Callithrix jacchus: one gene and its partners. The protein of the gene in region 1 interacts with the protein of each later gene in a pairwise test. Links are inferred from orthologs where the notes say so. Each region holds a gene or a part of one and is shown in the gene's direction. Other genes may lie near its edges.

Region 1 (5,440 bases):
AATTAAAGTACATCCCCCCACCATTCTCCCCATCTCCAGGGCTGAGTGGATTTATATAGTAAATATCTTTGGCCCAGAGATGTCTGAAGTTAACCTGGCCATTGAGTGTTATCGTTCTGTGGAGAATAACAATGCCTAAACATGACATATTTGTGCATAACTTAAATCAGTAGCTTGAACCTCTCATTCAGCCTTGGACAATACATCTTGGAATTCACAATAACGCAGATCCTCAGAACCAAGTCAGCGTCACCTGCACAGGAGGCTGTTACTTTAACACAGCCTCTCATGCCCCTTCTGGGTGTCTCAGGGCTGGTGTTCACAGCATTAATGCTATATCTGAATAAACAAGGACACTACTGGCTTTTACTTAATCCAATTGGTTCTTTCATCTGTTCATCAAATAGCCAACATCGATATTTATAAAATACCGCCTAGGCCATGTCAAATGGACAAAGTGAAAGACAATAAAGAAAGGAAGGGTTGGAGCATCCTGGTCAGCAGGAAGCAAGTACACACAGATCTTCTAGTAGTAGACCAGGTTTTTAACTTTACCTGTGTGACTTTGTGCTCTCTGGGTGGTGGGCACCATGGAGGCTCCTAAGTAAGTCACTGGCCCAGAGGTTGGAAGAGGCTGTCTCCCCCCAGCTCTACCTTCTGGACCTGGGACCTTGGACCAGTCATTGCAGCTCTCAGGGTCCTCCTCACGTAAGAAAATAGTGGCCAACCGTAGGACACGTGATATGGTACTTTGGAGCTGTGAGGTGCACAGCCCGTAGGCAGCACTTGTCAACCCTGGACCTCCTTCCTTCTAAGGCTGGGTTGAGAATTCCATGAAGTAAACTACAGGATTCATGCACACAGCAGGCTGGATTTGGCACTCACTAGAGGTTGGCTCCCTTCTCCTTCTCTCACCTGAGGTACGTTCCTACATTACAGCATCTCGAAAAATATCCAGCTCTGGGGTTTGGTGACCTGATTTCTCCAGGCTAAAACTTAAATACAGAGATTTTTAGGCCCGTGTTGTCATCCTGGAACTTGAGGAACCTTTCTGATCCTAGAGAACTGATTGAGGTGTGACCCTTGATGGCTTAGTGGATGCCAAGATCAAAAGTTAAAACCCAGGGGTGTCCTCATACCTAACTTGAAGCACCCTTGGAGAGCTTGCCAGAAAATGCTCTCTTTGTCGTTTTTATGTATCAGTTTTCCAACAGATAGAGAAGCAGAGGTGGAGAGAATGGCCAGAACATAATGTGTGGGGCCTGAATTTGCCCAAGGTCCTTATCTGGCACATCAGAGAGTTAGAGGCTCAGGCTGATGTTCAGAAAGTGAGGTCCAGAGGGAGGAAGTATCCTGGCCAACAACAAGCAGCTGATGAACAGAGAATCTGAGGACAGAGATGACGAAGGAAGGAGAGAGGCAAGGGAAGGACCTGAAGCTGCTGCCAGGACTGAGAGAGGGGGAAGGAAACCACAAGCAGGGGCTTTTCTCTTGGGTCCCTGGGGCTGCGTCCTGCCGTTTTTCGTCCTCTACTTCTTGTGTGGACATGTGTTCACATTCACATGTGCCAGCACACATAGGGATGTAGAAACCACTGAAATTAGCCCTGAAATAGCTGGATTGAGTCCTAGCTTGTAATGTGAGCTCTGGGACAAGTGATCACTTGTGATCTGAGGTCATTGAGCCTCAGTTTATTCGTCTGTAGAATGGGGTTGCTTGATGCCTGCCTTGCCCACTCTTAGGTAATAAAGTGCACGAACCCAGATGATCTATCCCCACAGCCTGCACTGATCCAGCCTCCCCCACCACCAGCAGAAAAATCTGGGAGGTTGGGCACATGACCCTACATCAAAGAATGCATGAGTGCCTCTCTGCACGCAGCCCTGGCCAGTGCCCATTTCTCTTTCAGCTCAGTGAATGATGGAAACTCATGGAAGACAGCAGACAAAGCAGCCCCGGGGATAGGGGAGATTCCAGAGAGGCCCGTGACCAGGCCACAGGGATGCTGGGGCTGTAAACCAACAGCCACTGGACTCTGTAAACCCACTTGGGCACCACAGAGGCAGAAGGGGTGATGAGTGAGAGGCAAGTAGTAGTGGACTTGCCCACCAGTGCCAGCTCCAGCATGCCCCTGCAGAGGCACAGGGCATCCTTCAGGGGGCCGCGGTCATCATCCTCCCTGGATAGCCCCCCAGCCTCCAGGACCAATGCCATGAGTGGCCTTATCCGAGTACCTGGGGTCTATGTAGGAACAGCACCCAGTGGGTGCATAGGTGGCCTGGGTGCCCGTGTGACCCGCCGGGCCCTCGGCATCAGCAGTGTCTTCCTTCAGGGCCTGCGGAGCTCAGGCCTGGCCACAATGCCGGCTCCAGGTTTGGAGCGGGACCATGGTGCTGTTGAGGACCTAGGGGGCTGCCTGGTGGAATATATGGCCAAAGTGCATGCCCTTGAGCAAGTCAGTCAGGAACTGGAAACACAACTTCGGATGCACCTGGAGAGCAAGGCCACGCGCTCGGGAAACTGGGGTGCCCTTCGGGCCTCCTGGGCCAGCAGCTGCCAGCAGGTAAGTGTCCAGGCTGTGCCAAGGGCTTTGCAGAAGGCTGGGAGGGGCTGCTGAAGGCAGGGGGTAGGGTTTTTCTGGTCTTTCTCAGGCCAGAAAAACTGACCATAACCCCTACACTTTCACACTTAAAATGCTAATCATAACAACAATGCCACTTTTTACCGAGGTTTACTAGGAGCCCATGCTAGCCCCGTACGTGTACTATTCACTATCTTCTGTACCCTTCAAATAAATGATATGCAGTGGATCATTCATTGATTACATTTTTGAGATGAGAAACTGAGGCATGTAATTTGCCCAAGACTTCAAAGCTAGAGGAGGGATGGAGATGAGATGTGAACCTGAATTTTTGTGTCTCCAAAGTCACATTTGCCCAATTACCCTGGGCTGCCTCAGCGACCTTTACTGTTGAGAAAGGATTTTTACAGCCATTATCCAATCAAATACCATCAGATGGACATGGTATTAAAAACAATGAATAAATGGAGGCGTGTTCCTGTATCCACCTGCAACCACGCTGTTCAATAGAAATCGGTACATCGGTAATTGACAAGCTTCTATTGCCCACGGTAAAACAAGTAAAAAGAAACAGGTGAAGTTAATATTATAGCCTATTTAACTCCATATGTCCAGAATGTTATTTCAACATGTAATCAATACAAAATATATTAATGAAATAATTTACATTCAAGTAGAACTTTCTGCATGATGGAAATATTAATATCTTATATCTGCACTGTCCAATCTGGCAGCCACTAGCCATATATGGCTATCAAGCACTTGAAATGTGGCTGAGACTGAGGAATTGTATTTTTATTTTATCTAATTTTCATTAATTTAAATGTAAATAGCCACAGGTAGCTAATGGCTATCTTACTGGACAGGGAAGGATGCCCAGGTTTAATCTTTCTCCCCTGCTTGGTCAGCCCTGCTTTTCCCACTCTCCAGGGTGATTTCTGCAGAGCCTGGAGCTCATCCATCATGTCTGGCCTGCAGCCTGTGGTTCTAATGCTGGGACTCCAGCCAGCATTATACTTCTCAGCTGGTCTCTCTGTGGATGGCTGGCTTCTCTCCTCCCCTTTCTCTCCAGATGCTGGCCTTGGGATCCCTCTGAGCAAAATCAGTCTCTAACCCACCAGGGACTACCAACTCAGACCCTTGGCCCCTAGAGTCCAGCATGCAGCCTCCCAAGAGGAGGTCACAAAATGTTATTTGTGTGTAGCTGGGGGGATGCTGAGCAGGTGCACACAGGGACTCCCCATTTGCCCCTCCTGCCTCCTGCTTCATCCCAGGATGCTTCTCCTGCAATGCTGTCAGTGCTCACTGACAGCACAGAGCACATGATAAACAGCACTGTCCTCTCAGGCTCTCCCCCGGTGCTGCTGTTCCGCTTGCCTCCATCTGGGCTGCTCCATCTTTGAACAGTCCAGGCCCTGAACGCCTGTCAAATCAAAGAGGCAGCCATTCCTCCAGGATTCTTCACAACTGTCCTGTTTCCAAACATTGTGCCCTAACAACCACCAGAACATCCCTGGATACTCTACTATGTCAGCATCTGCTGGACAATCGCTTGCACTCAGGTGCCAGACAGACTTGTCAGGAGAAACCAGGTGTCCCGATTTCTAGGTCAAAAAGTAGGGCCACAAAAACTTAGTTTATACTCTATAGATACTGACTTGCTCTGGCTCCAGAGAGCTACAAGGGCTGTTGCAACTTACTGACTTCTCTGGGCCTCAGTTTCATTATCTACAAATGGGTGTAATCATGCTTGGATATTCTAGCAAATCCATAGATAAATAAGATGCCTGGCTCCTGCCTACAAGCAGAGTACAGACTAGGAAGCTCTAAAATCCTGTGAGAGCAGCACAGCCATGCGCCAAGACACGCACCCTCTGTCACTGAGGATCAGGCTCCCACATGGCTCCCTTTCCTCTTAAGTGACTATAAACGAGATCTTGGGTATGAGAAATGGTCTCTTTTTTCTTCTTTTTTTAAAAAAACATGGACTTGAAGATAGAGTCAGAACAATCAATAAAATGGAGTTATTATTTCTTTTTTTTTTTTTGAGATGGAGTCTCCTTCTGTCACCCAGGCTGGAGTGCAATGGCATGATCTTGGCTCACTGCAACCTCTGCCTCTTGGGTTCAAGCAATTCTGCTGCCTCAGCCCCAAGTAGCTGGGATTACAGGGGCCTGCCACCATGCCTGGCTAATATTTTTGTATTTTTAATGGAGACGGGGTTTCACCGTGTTGGCCAGGCTGGTCTCAAACTCCTGACCTCAGGTGATCTGCCCCCTCTGCCTTCCAAGGTGCTGGGATTACAGGTGTGAGCCACCGCGCATGGCCGGAGTTACTATTTCTATATTGCACAGCCCAGGCTTTCAGCCATATTAAGCTCTATTCCATCAAGAAGAACAAAAAAACCCTTCGTAATTGAGAAATACTCATGATTTTTTCCATCAATCTGTCCTCGCGGAGCTGCAGGAGGCCCCCACCCGGGCCCCCACCTCCTTTTTTTTTCCTAAAGGCCACCTTCCAGCCCAGGCCTTTCACAAAGTACTGCCTTCACCTCTCTTGGGGGTCAGAGGCAGCCACTCTGTGGTCCTGGGCTCCAGAAATCCAGTGGTCCCTCCCTCTGCCCTCACTTTGGCCCCTCTGCTTGGGGCTTCAAGCCCAGCTTTCCAGACTCAGGGCTCCAGTGTTCCGTGCTCCTCACAGCTACTCCTTACCCTCCCATTTCTCCACCTACAGCCACCTCTTTCCCTACATTGTCCACCTCGCAGAACTCCTCCTCGTCCTGCGAGCCCAGTTCCATGCAACCCTCTGTGACTCCTCAGGGCCCACGCAGCACCTGAGGCCTCAGAGCAAGCTCTCAGC
Region 2 (4,655 bases), on another chromosome or scaffold:
CTTCCCACCTCTTTGCTCGTTAACCCCCCTTGCCCTACTTTTTTTCTCTTAAACAGAGTTACCACAGCCCCACTCGGTATCTCATTGTGTCTATTCCCAGTCTCACCCACCCACAACATGAGCCCTGTGAGGGCCCCACACAGCACCTGCTTGCAGTAGGTACTCAGTAGATCTGTGTTGCATGAAAGCAGCAGAGACACAAGGCTGGCAGCCACCCACCTCTGCCTGCTCTGTCAACTAAACCCCCTTTCTCCCTGCAGTGGGAAGCCTAGAGCCCCAAGTTGAGGTCCTGATTAACCGGATTAATGAGATCCAGCAAGGTGAGTTCAGGGGCCTTGGCTGCCAGCTAGGACCAGCTACATGGTTTGTGGGGCTCAGTGCCAAATGAGGAGTGCAGGGTCCCTTGTCCAAAGTTACTGGCTGTTCACAACAGCAACAGCAGAGCCTTAAATTAAGTACAGGACATTTCTGCATGCAGCTGCCATAGTCATATGCCCATGATCCTGGCCCTGCTATCAGCAGAGCCTGGCAAGAAAAGCCTGCACTCTGGAAGCCTCGTTTCCTACTCTATAAAATCTAGGCGACTGTAGGGTTACCTGAAGGCAAATGAGAAATGTCACTGTTGGCAAGAGAATTGTGCAGCTGGAGGCTGCACTCATTCAATGTCTTTCCGATCTTTGATGAAGCAAAAAAGAAGGTCAATGAAGACGTAGGAGAGGCCCGGACCATCTCTGAAGCCCTGCAGAAGGAACTGGACTCGCGTAAGGGAGTCGGGTCACCCAGAGGTCCCCACAGTGTCTGAAGCCTCCCCTAACCCTGTATTCCAGATGATCAGCATCCTTGCTGTGGCCAAGGGTCCTGTGCCCTCTCCTGCCTCATGTCCTGCCAATCTCCCCCTCTCCTCTGCTTGTGATAGTGTTCAGGAAGCACCCTCCAACCTTACTCCCACCTCAGGGCTTTTGCCAGGTGCTGCCTGTACTTCCATGGATAATACAGGTTCCTCTTTCCTCATGTCATCAGCTCTGAGTTAGAATGTCCCCAGAGAAGATGACTGGCATTCCCCAGACATCCCATCTAGAGATGGCGCCCTGCCTCCATCTGGTCATGTGCCCCTCCCTATTCGATGTGTTTCTTCATAGCCCTTAATCTCACTTCATGGGTGTTTGTATTTTTTCTCCTCCCCACGTAAAAGCATGGGCATCCTGCAGGGCCCTCACAGCAACCCTCTGTAAATGTGAAGGCCCTTTGGTACTTACAGGGAATGTGGGCACCAGAGGATAGGGAGGGGCTCACCTTGAGGGGTTCACATTTGGGTTGGGGGCAAGGCTGTGCCCAACTTCCCATGTGACTGTGAGCAAGCTCCATCCCTGAGGATACAGTGCATAGTCCCTGATGCCCAAAATACATCACTGTTTTCCAGTGCATGGAGAGAAAGTACGCCTGAAGGAGATCTTGAGCAAAAAGCAAGGTATCTGCAGCTCCCCTCTCTCCAGGCTTATGCCTTTGCCACCCCACAGAAGCCCACTCTCCCTATGGCAGCTGAAGCCTTTTAAAGCTTGCCTCTCTCCTGTAGCTTCCACCAGACTTGCAGTAAATTTTAAAGCTCAATCAGGTGTCCATAGACCTGATGTGATCTGGCCCCATTCCCCCTACCACAACCCAGTACCCTGACAGCTTCTCATAGGGCCCTGTTGCTCTCCCTGTAGAGACCCTGAGGAACCTCCGGCTGTACTGCCAGGAGAAGGAAAGTGAGGCACAGAGGTAAGAGCTTCCAGCTGAGCCTAACTCTGCCCCACCTCTTTATTCTGGTAGAGCAGAAAGAGGCAGGAAGATGAGTGTAAGGCCCACAGCTCTCATTCTGTCCCTCTAAACAATGGAGTGTCCAAAAAGTCTTTCCCCCTCGGCTCCAACAGCAGGCAGTGGTGTTAAGGGTAACTCTCTCAATGGTATAGACACTCAATTGCCAAATTATTAATTAAATTTCTTCAGCTGGTTTTTGTTCTTTTCCTTTTACTCTTTGTCATACTCCTTGGCTGTCTATTCACTCATCTGTTCATTTAGGCATTGAACCAACCACTTGTCCATTGTCTCTCCATCCATTATCTTTTTATCCACCCAATTATTTGTCCATCCATTTCTCCACTTCCTGAATGCTTATTTAGCTTATTTTCTTACCAGAGGCCCCAGGCCCTGGCACACTGAGTTTTCAGCTCTTTGGGGAAACCAGATGATATGTGTGTGCATTTGCTCACTTGACCATGTCTGCACTGATCTCTCTTAACCTGACAACAGTACTTACAGGGGGCAAATGCTCACATTACTCCCTACCCATCACATGTTACAGAGAAGGACCTTAATGTAGGAGGGAAAAAATAGCCTCAATAGAGGGAGGCAGAAGCCCCAGCCAAGAACCCTCCTGGGGCTTAAGAGAACATGGCTGAGGACTGCCTTGCCTCTCCCAGGAAGCATACCATGTTGCAGGAGTGCAAAGAGAGAATTTCTGCTCTGAATGTACAGATCGAAGAAGAGAAGAAAAAACAGAGACAGCTGAGGTAAACCTTAGCACCTGAGGCAGGGGATTTGGATGCCTGGTAGTCAGGGTATAATATAAAAGATGGGGGTTAGAAGAGCTGGCTACACTGAGCCTTGGAGGGTTAGGATGGTGAAGATGCTCCCAGTGGAGCAAGGCCATGGGCAAAGCACCCCAAGGTCTGTGCCAGAAGACCCACAGACGTGGACAGGCTGCAAAGGTGATGATCTCAGCCCATATCCCTTCATGCCTGTGGTTGGCCCCCAGGTTGGCTTTCGAGGAACAGCTGGAAGATCTGATGGGCCAACACAAGGACCTCTGGGACTTCCACGTGAGTCCCTCAAAGCCACTTCTCCCACTTCCACATCTTCCCTAGCAGTACCAGGCCCAAAGGGTCACTGCTTCCTCTCACCTGCCACATCCAGTCCCTGAACAAGCCCTGGTGGTGCTAAGACCAACATTGCCCGGATCCAGTCCCTTGTCACCACCCTCATGGCCCTGCTACCCTCCAGGGTCCACTCAGTGGTCAGGGGGATCTCTGATCAAACTAAGGTCAAGTCTTCCATCAATGTCCATGGATATGTCTGGGACCATCACGGTCACAAGGGAGACAGTGAGGATAAGCAGCCAGTGTTTGCCCCCCAGGAGGATCCCAGGCACTGAACAAGAAAATAGACAGTGAGTGTTAGAAGGGAAGGGCTCAGTGACGAGGCCCCAGCAGGATGGAGGGGCGTGGGGAGGAGCTGCAGAGCCGAACTGGTACCTGATCCTACAGAAAACAGCAAAGACTCATAGTGTTTGCAGGTTTATCTGTTGTAAATAACAATCCATGAGCCTCCCCACTGCAGCTCTCCAGGGATGTAGGATGACAGAGTGCACAGGGAGGGAATGACCAGTGCCATGGGCCTGAGGTTTTCTGTGGCTAGTATGCACAGAGAGGCAGAGTTGTTGGAAGTGAGGCATGGTGAGCAAGTACAAAACAAGATCCAGAAAGCCTTCTTCGAGGCATGGGAGAAAGCCAAGAGGTGTGGACAGACCTCTTTTCTGCCCGCCCCAGAAGCCGGAGCAGCTAGCAAGAGAGATCTGCACCCTGGACAGCAGCAAGGAGCAGCTGCTCAAGGAAGGTGAGGCCAGGGAAGGTGGATGGCCCTTCTGACCTCACATACCCTCATGTGCTCACCTGTCCCTTTGTGCTGCAGAGAAGCTGGTCGAGGCAAAGCTGGAAGATGTGAAGCAACAGCTGTGCTCCCTGTGTGGTGCTGAGGGCGCCTCCACCCTTGATGAGGGGCTCTTTCTCCGTAGCCAGGAGGCAGCAGCCACAGTGTAAGATGTGGAGGTGAAGGGGGGGAGGAGGGAGTGGCCAGTGCTAACCACCCCCTCCTTGGCACCCCAGGCAGCTGTTTCAGGAAGAGCACATGAAGGCTGAGGAGCTCCTAGCAGCTGCAGCCCAGCACCACCAGCAGCTGCAGCAAAAGTGCCAGCAACTGCAGCAGAAGCGGCAGAGGTGTGTGTGGAGGCCCTGTCCCCTCAACCCCCACCAGGAAAGTGACCAATGTCGTTTCTCCTCCCTCAACCTTCTATTTCTCTGACTCTTGAAAATCTCTTGTCCCCCTTTCCTTTTCTTCCTTCCCCCATCCTACCTCTTCCTGTCCAGGCTGAAGGAGGAGCTAGAAAAGCATGGAACACAGGTCCCTGCCCAAGCCCAGAGCACACAAGAGGAAGAGGCTGGCCCAGGAGATGTGGTAAGCCCCAGACCTGGGTGGCAGGGAACAGAGACAGCTACTGAAGGGATGGGGAAGGGCAGGAGGACAAGGAAGGGTGTCATGGGACTCCTCAGAGGATGGTCTGTGGGGAGAGGCTTTCCCATAGGCTGTCCACCCAAGGTGGTGATGGGGTAGGAGGCGACCGCGTGGCCATGGGGGTGAGTGTAGATTCCCATCCTGAGCACTAACCTCCTGCAGGCCAGTCCCAAGCCCCTAAAAGCCCGTGAGAAGAAAGACCTGGAGCTGCACACCAAGCAGGGCTTGATGTCCTCATAGGCCAAGAGGACACACTCCACCCCTGACCCTGGCCCAAGGCGCTAAGAAAGGAGCTATTTGAAACAGCCCATCTCGGCCGAGTCTAC
Region 3 (4,628 bases), on another chromosome or scaffold:
GCAATTCTCCTGCCTCAGCCTCCTGAGTAGCTGGGATTACAGGCACGTGCCACCATGCCCAGCTAATTTTTGTATTTTTAATAGAGACGGGGTTTCACCTTGTTGGCCAGAATGGTCTCGATCTCTTAACCTTGTGATCCACCTGCCTCGGCCTCCCAAAGTGCTTATAGGCATGAGCCGCCGCGCCCGGCCTGCTTGTTTCTTTTTAACATTTTGTTGGAGACAGGGTCTTGCTCTGTCACCCAGGCTGCAATACAGTGGTGCCATCATAGCTCACTGCAGCCTCAAACTCCTGGTCTCATTCAGTCTCCTGCTTTCCGCCCCTCAAGTAGCTGAGACTGCAGGTATGTAACACCATGTCCAGCTATTTTTTTATTTTTATTAACACACATCCTCACTGAAGACCAGCTAATTTTTTATCAAGATGGATTCTCACTCTGTTGCGTAGGCTGGTCTCAAACTTCTGGCTTCAAGCAGTCCTCCCGCCTCAGCCTCCCAAAGTGCTGGGGTTACACGCCTGCGTCACTGCACCTGACCACATGTGACCCTGATGGAAGGCGGTGCCGAGTGGGGTTCATATTATGGTGCCCACCATGTCAGTGTGACAGGGGCCACCACAGATGATGGAGGCTCCATTGTGGCCAGTGAGGTGGAAGATGATGGACCCTACCAGGGTTGGCATGACATTAGCCCACTTACAATTGCCAGTGTTGACACAGGCACCTCTTCTGTTTTCTGTAGCCCTGAGGGCAGCAGTGTGGATAAGCCCACAGAGGAAGTGGCTTTCCAGCTCCGAAGCTATGTCCAGCGTCTCCAGGAGCGTTGTGCTCAAGTGAAGATTCTCTCAGAGCCTGGCCCCACCTTGGCACCCATCCCCACTCTGCCCCGTGCAGAAGTCATGGTGCAGGCCATTCTGGGGACCCAGCCTGGCCCAGCTCTGCCCCGGCTGGAGAAGACACAAATTCAACAGGATCTGTTGGCCACAAGGGTACAAAGGGCTGTGGCCACTGTGTCAGTCTCTCCTGGTGGGACAAAATCCTTTACTGAGGTCCTGTGGTTGGGGGGCCAAGGAGCAAAGGAAAATTCTGCTGGACTGGGTGCAGGCATTGTGAGGGAGAATTGGAGGTGGGGTTTTGAAGGATGAATAGGAGTTTGTCTTCTGGGGTTCAGTTTCTCATTAGACTGCAAATCTGCTTCTCCAAAATGGCCTTCCTATGGAAAGAGATGGGAGCAAAGAACACAATCTTGGGTTTGGAGCTTGGCATGAAAACTGGAGGTTCTGGAGTTGGAGAGACCTAGAAACTTTGACATAATTGCTATTTGACCTATATAAGCTACTCACCTCTAGAAAATGCCATTTCTCCAGCTGTAGCTTTTATAGGAGGAATATATTTCTACCTCACAAGAACATGCGAAAGGTCCCAGTTTTTTGTTTGTTCTTTTTTGAGACAGAGTCTTGCTCTCGCCCTGGCTGGAGTGCAATGGTGCTATCTCGGCTCACTGCAGCCTCCGACATCCCCCCACCCCACCGAGTTCAAGTGATTCTCCTGCCTCAGCCTCCTGGGTAGCTGGGATTACAGGCTCGCACCACCACACCTGGCTAATTTTTGTATATTCAGTAGAGATGGGGTTTCACCATGTTGGCCAGGCTGGTCTCGAACTCCTGACCTCAGGTGATCCACCCACCTCGCCCTCCCAAAGTGCTGGGATTACAGGTGTGAGCCACCGCACCTGGCCAAAGGCTACAGTTTTTGCCTGATTAGTCCTCAGTGGGTGCCTCTTGGGGCCTCAGTTTCCTTGCAGTTGACCCCAGAAGCATAAATTCTCTGTCCTCCCCTTGGTCCCGCAGGAGACCCTGGCGGACCTGATGCTTCGGCTGCAGCTGGTGCGACGTGAGAAGCGGGGCCTAGAGCTTCGAGAGGCCGCCCTCCGAGCCCTGGGCCCAGCTCACGCGCTTCTGCTGGAGCAGCTGCGCTGGGAATGGGCAGAGCTCCGGGCTGGTGGGGCAAACAGCAGTGGTGGAGACAGCAGTGGAGGTGACAGCAGCGGGGGCGAGGAGGGGTGGTACCAGGTGAGCTGCCCTGCCTGAACCCGGCAGTAGCTGCTAACAGGAACATAGCCCTGGTCAATTGCAGTTGTGGTTTTTTTTTTTGTTTTTTTTTTTGAGGCAGAGTCTTGCTCTGTCGCCCAGGCTGGAGTACAGTGGCATGGTCTTGGCTCACTGCAACCTCTGCCTCCCCAGTTCAAGTGATTCTTCTGCCTCAACCTCCTAAGTAGCTGGGACTACAGGCACACGCCACGACGTCCAGCTAATTTTTGTGTTTTTAGTAGAGATGGGGTTTCGCCATGTTGATCAGGCTGGTCCCAAACTCTTGACTGCCTTGGCCTCCCAAAGTGCTGGCATTATAGACGTGAGCCACTACACCTGGCCTTATCACAGCCCTTTCTGAGCCTCAGTTTCCACTTCTGCACCAAGAAGCAAGTCGCATGATTAAGCTTTATGTCAAACTCACACCTGTGCTATGAGGTTTTCCTCCCTCCCTGCCTTCCTTCCTTCTGAGTCTCTCTGTGTCACCCAGGCAGATCTCAAACTCCTGGGCCCAAGTGATCCTCCCACCTCTGCCTCTCTAAGCACCCAGATTGCAGGGATAAGCCACCACACCCAGCCTCTTTCCTTTTTTTTGAAACGGAGTTTCGCTCTGTTGCCCAGGCTGAAATAAGTGCAATGGCACGATCTCAGCTCACTGCAACCTCCGCCTCCCAGGTTCAAGTGATTCTCCTGCCTCAGCCTCCCGAGTAGCTGGGATTACAGGCGTGCACCACCACACCCAGCTAATTTTGTATTTTTAGTAAAGATGGTTTTCTCCATGTTGGTGAGGCTGATCTCAAACTCCTGACCTCAGATGATCCGCCCACCTTGGCCTCCCAAAGTGCTGGGATTACAGGCGTGAGCCACATGCCCATTTTTCTCTCTCTCTCTCTCTCTCTTTTCTTTCTTTCTCTTTCTTTCCTTCCTTCCTTCTTTTTCTTTCTTTCCTTCTTTCCTTTCTCTCTCTCTCTCTCTCTCTCTCTCTCTGTCTTTCGAGTTAGGGTCTTGCTCTGTCACCAAGCTGGAGTGCAGTGGTGTGATTATAACTCACCACAGCCTCGAATACTGGGTCTCAAGTGATCCTCCCAAAATGCTGGGATTACAGACATGAACCATCATGTCCAGCCAAAGGGTTTCTTTCTGTGAGAGTATGAGCCCAATAAGCCCGAAAGGGTACAGCATCTTCCACTCACAAGTGCGTCTCCTCCTTCCCACCGAAGGTCTGTCCCTAGTCCGTCCTCTCCCCCTGGCAATTGCCCCAGTCTGTACCTCACCTCCTAGATTTTGGTACCAGCCTCTTCCCTGAAGCCTTTCTTTTTTCCACTTCTGAACATGTTTGTTCTCTGCTTAAAGAGTGGCTTCAAGAATCCTCAGAGTCCACGCTTTTTTTTTTTTTTTTCCCTGAGATGGAGTCTTGCTCTGTTGCCCAGGCTGGAGTGCAATGGTGCGATCTTGGCTCACTGCAACCTCTGCCTCCTGGGTTCAAGCAATCCTCCTGCCTCAGCCTCCTGAGTAGCTGGGATTACAGGCATGCACCACCACATCTAGCTAATTTTTGTATTCTTTGTAGAGATGGGGTTTCACCATGTTGGCCAGGCTGGTCTCGAGCTCCTGGTCTCACATGTTCTGCCTGCCTCGGCCTCCCAAAGTGCTGGGATTACAGGCATGAGTCAGTGTGCCTGGCCTTAATGCAGCTCTTGAAATCATCTCTCCCACCCCCAAGCCTTTGTACATTCCGTGCCCCTGCCAGGAACATCAGTCACTTCCCTCTTTGTGTCATAAAGTCCTTGACCTCCTGTAGATCTCAGCTTAGACATCAACTCCTCGAGGAAGTCCTCCTGGACATCAGCCTCATCCAAGTCCCCTGTTAATTTATCTCCTTTATCAGGGCTGGGCGCGGTGGCTCACGACTATAATCCCAGCACTTTGGGAGGCTGAGGTGGGAGGATCACTTGGGAGTTGGAGGCTTCAGTGAGCCACAATTATGTCATTTAACTCCAGCCTGGACCACAGAGCAAGATCATCTCTTTTTTTTTTTTGAGATGGAGTTTTGCTCTTGTCACCTAGGCTGGAGTGCAGTGGTGTGATACCAGCTCACTGCAACCTCCACCCCCCAGGTTCAAGTGATTCTCTTGCCTCTCAGCTGCCCAAGTAGTTGGGACTACAGGCACCAGCCACCATGTCTGGCTAATTTTTGTATTTTTAGTGGAGACAGGGTTTCACCATGTTGGCCAGGCTGGTCTCAAACTCCCAACCTCAAGTGATCATCCTACCCTAGCCTCCCAAAGTGCTGGGATTACAGGCATGAGCCACCATGCCCAGCCATATTTTTTAATTAAATATTTCCCTTATCAGAGGGTAATTTCACTCCTATGGGGGTATGGAACCAGACTGGGGACTCTGAGAAGGCAGCTGCTGCTGCTGTTATCTGGGCAGCTTCAGTGTCCAGCGTGGGCCGTGCATGTACTTGGCTTAGCCAATGTCACTTTCTTGTCTTCTCCCTCCGTCAGGGCCTTCCTGTTGTCCCTGGTGGCACCAG

What was found. The genes of interacting proteins can lie anywhere in the genome.
Region 2: the proteins of BFSP2 (region 1) and SYCE1 interact in binary tests that used the Homo sapiens proteins (3 or more experiments, as listed by UniProt). The two-hybrid records come from large-scale screens. The link is inferred for Callithrix jacchus from reciprocal best matches to the Homo sapiens genes BFSP2 and SYCE1.
Region 3: the proteins of BFSP2 (region 1) and USHBP1 interact in binary tests that used the Homo sapiens proteins (3 or more experiments, as listed by UniProt). The two-hybrid records come from large-scale screens. The link is inferred for Callithrix jacchus from reciprocal best matches to the Homo sapiens genes BFSP2 and USHBP1.

Annotation. Positions count from the first base shown.
Region 1 is NC_133518.1:50,728,301-50,733,740, reverse strand, and holds the start of BFSP2 (phakinin), read left to right. Parts: upstream 1-2,064; 5' UTR 2,065-2,074; coding exon 2,075-2,563; intron 2,564-5,440.
Region 2 is NC_133513.1:126,880,911-126,885,565, reverse strand, and holds part of SYCE1 (synaptonemal complex central element protein 1), read left to right. Parts: intron 1-260; coding exon 261-320; intron 321-686; coding exon 687-761; intron 762-1,420; coding exon 1,421-1,468; intron 1,469-1,706; coding exon 1,707-1,761; intron 1,762-2,462; coding exon 2,463-2,552; intron 2,553-2,797; coding exon 2,798-2,861; intron 2,862-3,587; coding exon 3,588-3,654; intron 3,655-3,729; coding exon 3,730-3,853; intron 3,854-3,923; coding exon 3,924-4,034; intron 4,035-4,184; coding exon 4,185-4,289; intron 4,290-4,343; coding exon 4,344-4,348; intron 4,349-4,491; coding exon of another isoform or gene 4,492-4,521; coding exon 4,522-4,595; coding exon of another isoform or gene 4,596-4,614; 3' UTR 4,615-4,655. UniProt on the Homo sapiens protein: Major component of the transverse central element of synaptonemal complexes (SCS), formed between homologous chromosomes during meiotic prophase. Requires SYCP1 in order to be incorporated into the central element.
Region 3 is NC_133523.1:15,853,624-15,858,251, reverse strand, and holds part of USHBP1 (harmonin-binding protein USHBP1), read left to right. Parts: intron 1-741; coding exon 742-988; intron 989-1,849; coding exon 1,850-2,071; intron 2,072-4,599; coding exon 4,600-4,628.